Linked DNA regions of Cricetulus griseus. The protein of the gene in region 1 interacts with the protein of each later gene in a pairwise test. Links are inferred from orthologs where the notes say so. Each region holds a gene or a part of one and is shown in the gene's direction. Other genes may lie near its edges. The genes, in order: Ccdc116 and Bex3.

Region 1 (6,558 bases):
TTTTTAAGATTTTATTTATTACATATACAGTCTTCTGCCTGCAGGCCAGCAGAGGGCACCAGATCTCATTCAAGGTGGTTGTGAGCCACCTTGTGGTTGCCAGGAATTGAACTCAGGTCCTCTGGAAGAGCAGTCAGTGCTCTTAACCGCTGAGCCATCTCTCCAGCCCCCCCAAAATTTGATTTTTGAAAAGTAATTTTTTAAATGTCGAAACAATAGAAATACTCAAGAGAGATTCCCTTACTCTTCCCAGTGTTTACTGTTGCTAAGTTTCTGGGCATTGTACCATCCTTCTATTATTTTCTCTATGAAAAGAAACACACACCTACTCTTCTCCATCACTCAGGGATGCCAGGTTATTTCATTCTTGCAGTGTTGCTTTCTTTGTTTTTATGTAGTGCCTATGAGCCCCTCTTATTAGGTGTTTTATATTTGTTTCAAATAGTTTGTTCCTCACTGTTTCTAAGGGGAGGCTTTTTCTTAGTACAAGTTCTATTTTTTTTTTCTTCCTGAGACAGGGTTTCTCTGTGTGACACTGGATGTCCTGGAACTCACTCTGTATTCCAGGCTGGCCTTCCATCTGCCTCAGCTTCAGCATGCACCACCACTGCCTGGCCCTAAAAGCTCTACATAATAAGAAAATAATCATGCAAACCAGTGGCCACACTGGAGAAAGTGTTAGCCCATTTCCACCCTGAGCTTCAGGTAACTTTTGCCTCACTTTTGCTCTTTGCCCAGTAAAGTAGTAAAGTAGTTGTTTCTTCTTCTTCTTCTTCTTCTTCTTCTTCTTCTTCTTCTTCTTCTTCTTCTTCTTCTTCTTCTTCTCCTAGAACTTACTCTGTAGACCAGGTTGGCCTCGAACTCACAGAGATGCACCTGCCTCTGCCTCCCGAGTGCTGGGATTAAAGGTGTGTGCCACCAATGTCCAGCTCCCAGTAAAGTTTTCTTACCCATGACTTACCAATAGTCACCATGGTGACTGCCAGTGTTTGCTTGGTAATGTGGCTGTCTTGATATTGTTTTGGAAGTTTTATGTATCCCAGGCTGACCTCACTATTCATTCAAGTAGCTTCTGGTTTATGTGGTGCAGGGAACTAAACCCAAGACTTCATACATGTTAGGCAAGCACTCTGCCAGCCTGTCTTGGTTTCTCCTTGTAGAACCTGTGTTACGTGGGTCAAGCCTGTGATATTGGTAATTTTGTTTGTTTCATAGCCAAGGCAGTGGAAGATTCACCAGAGAAGTAAAGCAGGAACTTCTCTACAGGTTGGAGCCTGACCTATTCTGGTTCCCTCCATCCTGACTGACCCCCTGGATCACAGGCAGAGGGGAAAGAGTACAGTTTAATCATTAACAGTACCTGATGATGCTTTGTAAGGGTTGGAGGCCTCAGAGAACCCTTCAGCCAAGTTCCTGGTGTAACACTGCTGTGTCCAGTCATGGTGACTGTTGAACCATCAGGTGTCATCCAGCCACTGTGTCCCTCTGGGAGACTGCTCTTGGAAAGGCCAGAGACCTTGAGGGCCTGGGCCCTGAAACCACAGATGGAGAAGAGGAAACTACTAAGCACATATTGTATCAGGAACAGGGTCATTAGAAATTAGGGCTCACTGCTTTGATTCCTGCACTAAGAAAGTACCAGCAGTTAGACAAGAAAGAAACAATGTGTCAGTGGGGGACAGGTTTGTGAATCTGTTGGGAATGACAAGCTTCTAGAATGAAGGAGGAAAGAAAAAGGTAGAGGTAAGTTTATATGGAGTTTCCATAAGGTGCAATGTGTATTGAAAGAATATTTTATGTAGCTGGGTGGTAGTGTCGAACCTTTAATCCCAGCACTCAGGAGGCAGAGGCAGGCAGATCTCTGAGATCAAGGCCAGCCTGGTCTACAGAGTGAGTTCTAGGACAGCCAGGACTACAAAGAGAAATCCTGTCTCAAAAAAACCAATATACATATACATAATGTAATACTCATCTGTGGAAGGATGCTCAGCTCAGTTTAGAGACAGTATTGAGAGGCTGAATCATATCAGCAAAAACAATACCATAAAACAGGGACAGGAAGTGAAGCTAGGTCTGTGTGGAAAACCGGGACTCTTCACGGCTTCCAAAAAGAAAGTCTCAGAAGGAAGATGCTGGCTAGTCTACACTGGATGAAAGAAACCCTGGAAGGAGGCCAACAGAGTCGTAGGTCCAAGTCTGTGCAGCGACCAGGGATGAGCTGAGAAAGGTGTTTGTGGCATAAGTGGAGGCTATGACTTTCACCCTGAGGATTAGAGAAACAAGACCCAGATTCAGACCTCTTGGCAGAGTAAGTCAGACCTCTAAAGATCCCCAAGCACTGCTTAGCCTGCGTGACAGAAAAAGCCAGCCAGGTTGGGGAGGAGCCAATGTGGGCCCCACCCCAAACCATTGTGGGAAGATAATGAACGAGAGACAAGATTCTGACCAATCAGAACAAAGTATGTAAATGAGCTCGCTGAGAGGCTGTGCGGGGGAGTGGCATTCCAGGGCACTGTGCGGCAGTCCTTAATAGGGTGCTGCTGACCCAGTGAACCCCGAGAAGCACGCACAGAGAAGACTCTGGTAAGCAGGTTGGAGCTCCAGGGCGCCTCTGGTCTGAAAGAAGGAATTTTGGACACCCCACCCCCACCCCCGTCCCAGACAGTTGCAAACTGAAGGCAACCACTTGGGACTGTCCGCAGATGTTTGGTGGGTCCCAGCAGGGGAAGGGTGGGATGTCTGAAGGACATAGGGTACAGGAGTGAGGGACCCATGGAGGCCCGGATCTACCTTTACTACCCCTCCCCGCCCTATTCAGAGGAGTCTGCATCTGTGCTGTGGAACCTGAGAAAGGAAGCAAAACACAAATTTAATTACCCACATCATGGCAAGGTACCACCACCACCACCACCACCACAACCACCACCACAACCACCAGGCAGGATATCTGGCTGACGATGAAGGTGGTCACAACGCCTACATGGCTCGGGTAAGTATGTCTAGCTGACCCGACATTAGTGTCTGGGCCACTTTCCACTGCTTTCTCATTTCCAGTTGATCTCACTGGGTCAGCTGGAGACACCCTTGTTGTAGCTTTGACTCCCCTTAAGCCATCTTGCTACGCCCTGATCATTCTTTCACACCCTATTCTCCTTGGCCCTCAGGTAGTTCTTGGGTGGGCTAGGAGCCCTGAGAAGGAGCATGGAGTCAGTTTGGGGACTCAAGGTGGAAAAGCAGTTTCAAGTCCTCAAGGTAGCAGAGCAGAGAAGACAGTGCAAATTTGTACTAGAGGCAGGAGGAGGCAGAGAGGGAAGATGGTTCTCACAATTGCCCTTTCATACCATGAACACAGGTTTCCATTTTCAGGCTCCCAGATAGGCCTAGCATATATGAAATATAGGATTGGGGACCTTCAGGCCAACTTTAGTAATATCCTACTTTGCAAAGAAGTCCCGAAGAAGGGCTGCTCTGAGCACTATCACCCAGCCTGAAGGTAGCAGAGCTGGAATTCAAACCCAGGATTACCTGACTTTTAGTGTAATTCAGAGCTGGTAAGATGTCTCAGTAAGTGAAGGCATTTGGTCTCAAGGCTGATGGGCTGAGTGAATCCTCAAGATCCACATGAGTAGGAGAGAACCAATTACAACCAGTTGTCCTTTAACCTCCACTGTCCACTGAGGCACACATATACCCACACACGTACACACATAGCCACAAGTAAATGTTAAAAATGTTTAAATGCAATTCAGTGGTTGAACATTTGCAGAGCATGTTCAAGACCCTGGGTTCAACCCCCAGCACCAACAAACTTAAAAAAAGGAAAAAGTCTTTTCCATTGCTCAAACCCACCCAGCCCTCAATAGCACCCTAGGGGCACTCCAGAGATAGCCCCTACCCCTTGCAGAGCATCCTGCCTGCTATGACAAGCCTGTCTGTTCAGATGCAGCTGCCCAAGAAGCACCGGTTGCCAGGAAGGGAGCCAACCTTCAAGTCTGGACATGTGCCGCACCTACCATCAATGTACCGATACTCAGAACACCAGGGCCAACAGCAAAATCTTAGGCCCCCTCAGGTGTTTGGCACCTTCCTGGATTTCCTGACAGAGGGTCAGGTACTGGACAGCTTGCAGACAGTGGTGGAGAAGGCAACAGAGCATTTGGCTGCCACCAAGACGGAGGCCGGAGTGCCACTGGTGGACATACAAGACCCGCTGGAGGCGCCAAGTGATAGGCGGACTCGTGCCAGACGCACTGTGCATCGACACCATGCTCGGCCCACGCTGTGTGCTGGGCACCCAAACAATTACCCATCTTGCTCCAGCTCCATGTCCGACTCCCACAGCAGCATTTCAGCTGGCTGGCTGGGCTCCCATAACCAGGACACTGCTCCTGGTCCCCGTGGCATAGGCTCACTGCCACCTATGAGGGACAAACTCCTGCTTGAGAAAAACCTCAAGAGGCTACTGCGACTTGAGAACAAAGGGGTGAGATCTGTTGCCATGGCTAAGGCTAGCATAGGGTGGGCCTGAGCTTAGGGCTAGGGTTATACCTGGCTGAACACCTCAGCCTTCCCCTCTCTTTTGCAGAAAGGCCTGAATCATTCCTGCCCCCAGAGGGATTCTCTACCGTGGGATTCACTGGACAGCCAGACCAGCAGTCAGTGGACCCGAGAGCAGCCCCTGTCTTGGTTCTCTGGGCTTTTGGGCTCCAACTCAGCCACCCCTGAAACATTGGGACTTGGAGAACAGGAGATGATTTTCCTCAAAGAAGAGTTGACCAAGGAGATAAAGTCACTGCTGAACCAGCCAGCATCGTTCAACCTGCCTGTGTATTGTTCACTCAGGGAGCCCCATCGTACCCTGGACTTCCTGGCTGAGCATCGTCTCTTTCCTGCCCTGCAGCGTGTAGTCAGCCAGGCGGTAGACAAGCTCAGCCATGCCTGCCGCCATAATGGCTTCCCCCTCTTCCCTGTTGACTCAGATCCCACCCCAGTGATGCCTGGGGACTATGATCTTCTGCAGCAGAACGAGTCCAAACCCAACAGCAGGGATGGGGAGGAGCCTTCTGATTCTCCCACCACAGTCTCCAGCCCTAAGACATCTCGCAGGAAAAGCAAGGGCAGACGGGACTCCCCCTCCATGTCTAATGCCCAGATGACTACCAAATTCAGGCTCAAGGTGACACCTGCACAGGTGCCTAATGTCCCTAGCCCCTCATTCCACTCCATGCAGGAGTTCCCTGACTCTGATCCCAAATTACAGAAATCAACTTTGGCCCCAAGGTACAATCAGCTACCTCATCCTCGTCATGGCCTGCACCTCACCCTGCCTGACCCTGGTATTAGAGTGGAGATGGCCTCCTGCCAGGGCCATCTCAGGCCCCCGATCCAGCATTGTCTTGCCTCCCACAGCCTTCTTCCCTCCCATACCCATTTTCCTATGTTCTCCCCATTCTGCTTCTCCCCTTATTCTACTACAATGTGTCCAGAGCTGGCTGCAAGAGTAGGGCTGGAGGTCTTAGAGGGACATTTGCAGGGAAATGGCTCCTTTTCCCACCACATCTAGTAGCCATTGTCATTGGTTGATGCCCAAGGGCAAGATCTCTTGCCTTGCATTGCAGAAATCTCCTGGAGTAGATACAAGCTTCTGGGGATGGAGAAGCCTAGTCTACCTATTTCCCCAGGGGATGTCAAAGATTAATAAAGGCTATTTTTACCCTTCAATTTTTTTTTCTGAGACAGGATGTCATGTAGTCCAGGATGCTCTCTCAAATTCATTATATCCTTGCCTTTACTTCCCAAATGCTGGGATTACAGGCATGCATCACCATGCCTGCAATTTGGGTATTTTTTAAAAATTATTGTTTGAACTACCCAAAACAGGGTTTCTCTGTGTAGCACTGGCTGTCCTGGAATTTGCTCTGTAGACCAGACTGACCTATGGACTCAAAGATTCCCCTGCCTCTGCCTATCAAGTGCTGGGATTAAAGGCATGCGCCGACACCACCTGGCTTTGTTTGTGAATCTCAGAGTCTCTCCCACATGTCTCTTATGGACAGGAACCTTTGCCAAGAGCACCACTCTATTCTAGGGTCAAGCCAGGTCAAGCTATCCTAATCCAGCGATGACTAGTCTTTCTGCTCGGTAAAGGGGACATTGGTCAGGAAATGTGTATGAAGACATAGGTGGCCTGACCCTTGGAGGTCATGGACATCTCTGAACCTACCATCATCAGGGCTCAAATGTAATTCCTTCTGCACACAAGCTTGCAGGAGCACAGGCTGGCCAGGCTGGCAGGCTTTGCTCTAGACCTGACAGGTGAGGCCTGTGGAATGACTGTTGTGGCAGAGCAGGTGTGGCAGGTCTGTATCCCAGTGCAATGTGTGTGGCTTCCCTGTCTGTAATGGGGAGGATTGGTACAGCTGCCAAGGAGGGTATAACAATGCACTTTCACAGGGCAGCAGGAGGAATGGCAGCAGCAAGAGCTAAATGTCTCCTTTTTCCTCCTTGCTTGTTGCACAGAGCCCCAGCACCAAGCTTCCGAAGAAGAAACCTCTGCCG
Region 2 (5,875 bases), on another chromosome or scaffold:
ATAGCCTAAGTTTGGAGTATACTTTTCTAACAAATAGCTCGTTCTCAACCATTCACAGCATTCCACCTTCAGTCAGCAGTTGGGGAGGAACTGTTCTAACCCTATGTTCTCATTTGTGTTTTGTTGCTGTGGTAAAACATCATGACTCAAAACAATTTGGGGGAGGGAATGGGTTATTAGTCTCACAGGTTATAACCCAACACTGAGCTAAGCCAAGGCAAGAACTGAGGGTGAGACAATGGAGGAGTGCTGTTTACTGGCATGCTTTCCATGGTTTTCTCCTCTGCTTTCTTATAGAACCTAGGACCACCTGTCCAGGGGTAACACTGCCCACAATTGGCTTGGTTGGTCCTTGAACACCAATCATTAAACAAGAAAATGGTCACAAGCTTGCCTACAGTCCAATTTAATGGAGGCAATTCCTAAATTGAGGGTCCCTCTTTCCAGGTGACTCTGGTTTGTATCAACTTGACAACTCACCAGCACACCATGCTTAAAAGTAAAGGCAAGTACTAAGCTGTAATCAATCAAGCTGTCTCTCCACCTCAGCTCTGTTTTCTGTACATTCTCATTTCTGTCCAAAACATGTGGCATGACCATGTTGAAGAACAGCATCTCTGAACCTGTTTGGGCTTTATGGGCTTCTTAGTTTGTAAATTATTCCTTTGTTCCAGTTGATCAGTTTGTCTAAACTTTTTCTTTTTTAAAAAAGGAGTCTTGTTACCTGTGAGACAGAGTCCAGAAATGACGAGCATTACTTTAAAAGGCAATTGCTGCCTCTGATTTTGCAACTTGAGATTTTGGAGCTATATGGTAACATCTCTAAACTCATAATTTTAGATGTAATATACAAACCTTAAGACACCAAGCATTTGCATTTTACTTCTCCAGTATCCCGCCTTATTTATCAGGAGAGGAGACAGTATAGTGGGGCCCAACTGCTACCTCTCATAATGAAGTTATTAAATTGAAAATAACAACACTATGTTTCCAGAAAACTATCTTCTAGCTGTGATAATTTTTTAAAAGAAGATGATTTCAATGGCGAGCCTGTCTGGGCCACAGAGTGAGACTTAGTCTCAAAACAAACAAATAGCCAAAAAACAAAAACAGTGATTTCAGGGTGGAAGAAACAGTTGTATTCAGGATGAGTTCTGGTATAAATACAATTGCTTCGTTCATCTTTTGCTTATTTCTAATATTTTTGAAACATTCACACCAGAGTAGGAGGTATGGGGAGTAAATTTCTAGATTATTTTCTATTTCTCAGTTCATTAAATATTTAGAGAGTAGTTTGAAAGGTTTGGAGAGGAAAGCAAGGAATTAAATGGCTCTTTTTCCTGAGGATTATGGACTCAGAGAAATCTCATATAATACAGGCACATGGGAGGCAGAGGAAGGAGGCAGAGGCAGGAAAGATCACCCCAAGTTTGAGGCCATTCTGTTTGATAGAGTGAGTTCCAGGTCAACTGGGACTACATAGTGAGACCCTTTCACAAGAAATCATAAAATTATGACCTCTCTGAAGGAACTATTTCAGATCAATGTTAAAGCATTAGCTGTATTCAGCAAGAGCCCCTCCTTCTTAAAATAAAAAAAAAAATGAAACAGACTAATACAAAACAGCCATTCAAAACCTAGAGAATGTATTTTCTGTGTGATACAAACAGGTTAACATAAACAAGTTTTTTTTTTTTTTCGTTCTGCAGAATGAAGCATTTCTTTCAAAGCTGAAAAATTCACCAGCCTTGGTGGTGCAGGCCTGTAACCTTAGCTACAAGGGAGGCTGACCCAGGAGGATTGAAAATTCAAGTGTAGCTCCAACAACATAGACATGCACTGTCCTCATTTTTTTTTTTTTTTAAGTTTAAAAAGTGTGTGTGGTGGCAGGGCTGGAGTGGTCTGGGAATACAGCTCAGAAGAGAGCTTGTCCAGCAATTATGAGGCTAGAGAGAGGATCTATCCCTGACATTCCAAAAAGGAGTGACCCTTATAATTTTCAATTTTCTCAAGCATGTTGTGTGTGTGGTTTTTTTCTTTTTAAGGAAGTAAAGAGATGTATGTACAATCTACACTATTCTCCACTTCAAGGTGTCTGTTGGGAGAGGTCTTGGGGAAAAAATTTGGCTAAGGTGGAGAGGAATCTCAAAGAAGGCTAAAGCCAAGACCTGGCTATAATGGGGGGCGGGGGCAGCAGAGATGGAGTATGGTGCAGACTCTCCCTGGTAACAGGGAAGGGAGAAGTCCAACCTCCAGACGGTGATGCCACTTGTGGGTCTTCAGATTGGCGAGGATCTGGATGAGTAGAGGGTGGGGCCTGAGGTGCTCGCTTGCGGCGGGGAGGTGGAGGCGGGGCCTCCTGTCGCACTGGCCTCCTGAGCTGGGGAGCGAGCTTGGCGGTGACGCGGGGCCCTCACGTGACCTGGGGCTGCAGAGCGACGCAGCCTTGGGTGCAGTCGTCACTTGTGTCTGGCCACCAGCTCGGTGCTTCCCTGCGCAGGGCGGGCTGGCATCGGGCCCTGGGCGAGCGGAGCAGGTAAGAGGCCCGCACGCAGCGGCCCTGAGGACGACAGCCTCCGGATGCTCCGGAGCGCTCTGTAGGACCGTGCAGCGGCCGCGCGGCTTTCTGCACGGAAAAGAGAACAGTGGCTGCGTCCGGGAAGGGGCGCCTTGCTTGTGGAAGGGCATGGCGGGGGTCTCTGGGAAGGGCTGGTTGGGCCTGCTAGCGGGAAAAAAAATGCTAGACCTGGCATTGGAGAGCGGCGAAGGGAGCCACTGGCTCATAGAGATTGCGGGCGCCCAGGTAGGGGGATGGGCGGGGGGCGGGGGGCGGTACTGAGCTCCGCGCTGAGTCGCTCCCATCCCACCCTGTTGCAGGTCTAGTAGCAGAGTCGCGGCGGAGCCGGAGCGTCTCGCAGCGACAATTGAGAAGAGGACTACGCGGCACGGGATAGGCCCAGGTCGGTTCAGGGGTAGTGTGTGTCGGGGGGGGTGGGAGGGTTCGGCTGGAGGAGCATACGGGAAAGCCCTGACTGGGATCCCACTGAGACCCCCCCCCCTCATCCTACTCTCCATCTCAGTCCTCCATTTTGGTGCCTGCAGAGCTCAGGGAAAGGATCCTGGGAAATAAAAAATGGTGGGCTTTGGAGGAGGGAGGGAAAAGAGAGCTGGGGGGAGGGGCTCGAAATGGACGCTCCCTAAAGGTTGCCTGGAGACTCTTAAGATGTGGGGGGAAATAAAATGATAATGAAAACTTTTGTTGTTAGTCTCGGAATATTGCTGGTCAGTGCACCAAGGATTCAGTTTCTTTCCTTGCCCTGTCTTACTTGTGTTCAAAGAATAACAACCAGAAAACAAAATCTCATCATGGCAAATATCCACCAGGAAAACGAAGAAATGGATCAGCCCCTGCAGAATGGACAAGAAGATCGCCCTTTGGGAGGAGGTGATGGCCACCAGCCTGCAGCAAACAACCACAACCGAAGAGGACAGGCTCGCCGGCTTGCCCCTAACTTTCGATGGGCCATACCCAATAGGCAGATTCATGATGGGTTGGGTGGAGATGGAGATGATATGGAAATGTTCATGGAGGAGATGAGAGAAATCAGGAGAAAACTTAGGGAGCTACAGTTGAGAAATTGTCTGCGCATTCTTATGGGGGAGCTCTCTAATTACCATGATCACCACGATGAATTCTGCCTTATGCCTTGACTTCAGCCATTTTCCATGAGATTCATACTGTGATTCCCAATGTATTCCTATTCCTTGCATTTTCCTGACAATGCCTTTACTAATCTTTGTGGTGAGCCTTGTGTTATTTCCATGTGCCAGGTGGGTTTTTGTGTTGCCAGCTTCTCTAACTGGAGATTGCCTTCCCACTCAGTGTACATTTCTGTCAACAATACAGTGTTGCCCATTTGCATGGAAAATGTAAAGTAAATAAAGCAACTGAAAAGCAATCTGAATATTTATTATCGTCTCCTTAAAGCATACATACTTACATAAGAAATGAACCACAAAAATTCTGAAATTCAACAGTATTGGGGATGGGGCGGGGGCGGGGGCACATGCATATAATTTTCCTTTTGTTTGGAGTTTCATAAACTTTTTCAGTGATGTTATGAATTTATTACAGGTATATATTTGCTCAACAAAGTTAAGGCATAAATCCTCATAAATACAATTTCTCAAGAGTGTCCTGTAGTCTCTTCTGTGACGTAGTGGTGAGTGGAGTTTTGCAAAGGTGTGGAATAAATGAGATCAGGTGTGGGGATCTGCTGGCTTAGGTTTTTCCCTACTTGTTAGCCGGCATTCAATAAGCCCAGGCCTCCAGCCCTTACCAAATAGTTGGGGAGAACTGAGGGGAATCCTCAGTCCTTGCCCATTCTCCCAATTCCATACAGGAAAAAGAGGTGTGTTCCTCCATGTCATTTGTATGTTGCAATTGCACTTCTCTGCTTACAGGCATATGATTTAGGCAAAAATCTCCTTCTGATTCCTGTTTTCTGTAATGGGGATGACATGCCTGCAGTCCTCTGCATAGCTAAATCTAATTTGTTTAAAGTATGTAGTGACTTCGGTATGATAGTGTGGAAATGCCTTTATAACTTGACATATTTATCTAGGTGGATTCAATCCCTATGGTTCTTAAGAAAGTAGCCCTTTCTGGTATTATTTTTGTGTTCCCATTTAAAAAGCTCTGGCATGGGTGCAGTGGGGCCTAGCACAATAGATAGCAGATGTCTTTGAGGGTTATGCCCAGAGCTGCATTACTGTAAACCTCCAGAACACAAATAGGCTAACAGCTTTATGGTGGTTCTACCCTGCATGGATTTCCCTTAAAGCAGCTCTCAGCAGGTCTGCCCCCCCACCCTCCCCCAGTTTAATGGACTTCCTAGAAACATCAGTTTCATTGGGGAACAGGCATTCTCTGGCTGCATCCTGTTTGTCCCATCCATACCAAAACATAAATGCCGCTGTGAGCTCTTTTTTTCACTTGTTTAAAATTTAAAGCCAATCTTTTCTCATTTTACATACCAATCCCAGTTCCCACTCCCTCCCTCCTCCTGTTCGCCCCATCTTCACCCCACTCCACCCCATTCAGTCCTCAGAGAGGGTAAGGTTTCCCGTGGGGAGTCAAGGAAGTCTGGTGCACACACACCTCTTTAAGGCAGTACTGAGGCCTTGTATCTAGGCTGTGAGAGTATCCTTCCATAGGGAGAATTGTCTCTAGCTCATGCACTAGAGATAAATCCTGGTTCCACTGTGAGCAGCTCAACAGACTGCCCAAGCCACACAACTGTCACCCACATTCAGAGGGCCTAGTTTGGTCCTATGCAGGATCCCCCACCCCTGTGTCAGTCTGGAGTCAGTGAGCTCCCACTAGCTCAGGTCAGCTGTTTCTGTGGGTAACCATTTTGGTGATACCCACAAAAACCATTGTGAGCTCCTAAAAACCATGTAAACTATTTAATTTATGATTTTTATGTAAAGGTGTATCCTCTAGACAGTAATATTGTCTCAATTTTAGTTGAATAGTCAGTGCCTGACAGAGTAATCGGAAATTGTTGATTATTCTGATAGGCTAAGTACAGTGGAGTTAGAAACCCTGTTTGATACTGTTCCTAATTGACTCTATGAAAGAAGGCTAGTAATCACTGATCTGGGAACTTTAAAACAGCACCCCAAAGAAAGTCTTTAATCCCATATGCAAAAAATTATAGACTTTATAATATGTTCGTGTTTATGGGAATACAATGCACCTACCTGTACACATAAGGGAAACACTAAGATTGAATTCTTGACACTTGGGTGCCCTTCTCAGCTTTGTTGTCCACTGTTAGCAATCTCTAAATCACAGATTACTTTTATATCA

Evidence for each region.
Region 2: the proteins of Ccdc116 (region 1) and Bex3 interact in binary tests that used the Homo sapiens proteins (3 or more experiments, as listed by UniProt). The two-hybrid records come from large-scale screens. The link is inferred for Cricetulus griseus from reciprocal best matches to the Homo sapiens genes CCDC116 and BEX3.

The regions. Positions count from the first base shown.
Region 1 is NC_048597.1:72,177,314-72,183,871, forward strand, and holds the start of Ccdc116 (coiled-coil domain-containing protein 116), read left to right. Parts: upstream 1-2,785; 5' UTR 2,786-2,884; coding exon 2,885-2,989; intron 2,990-3,946; coding exon 3,947-4,483; intron 4,484-4,585; coding exon 4,586-5,176; intron 5,177-6,519; coding exon 6,520-6,558.
Region 2 is NC_048604.1:44,092,152-44,098,026, reverse strand, and holds Bex3 (protein BEX3), read left to right. Parts: upstream 1-2,376; 5' UTR 2,377-2,536; intron 2,537-2,877; 5' UTR 2,878-2,960; intron 2,961-3,338; 5' UTR 3,339-3,366; coding exon 3,367-3,711; 3' UTR 3,712-3,959; downstream 3,960-5,875. UniProt on the Homo sapiens protein: May be a signaling adapter molecule involved in NGFR/p75NTR-mediated apoptosis induced by NGF. Plays a role in zinc-triggered neuronal death.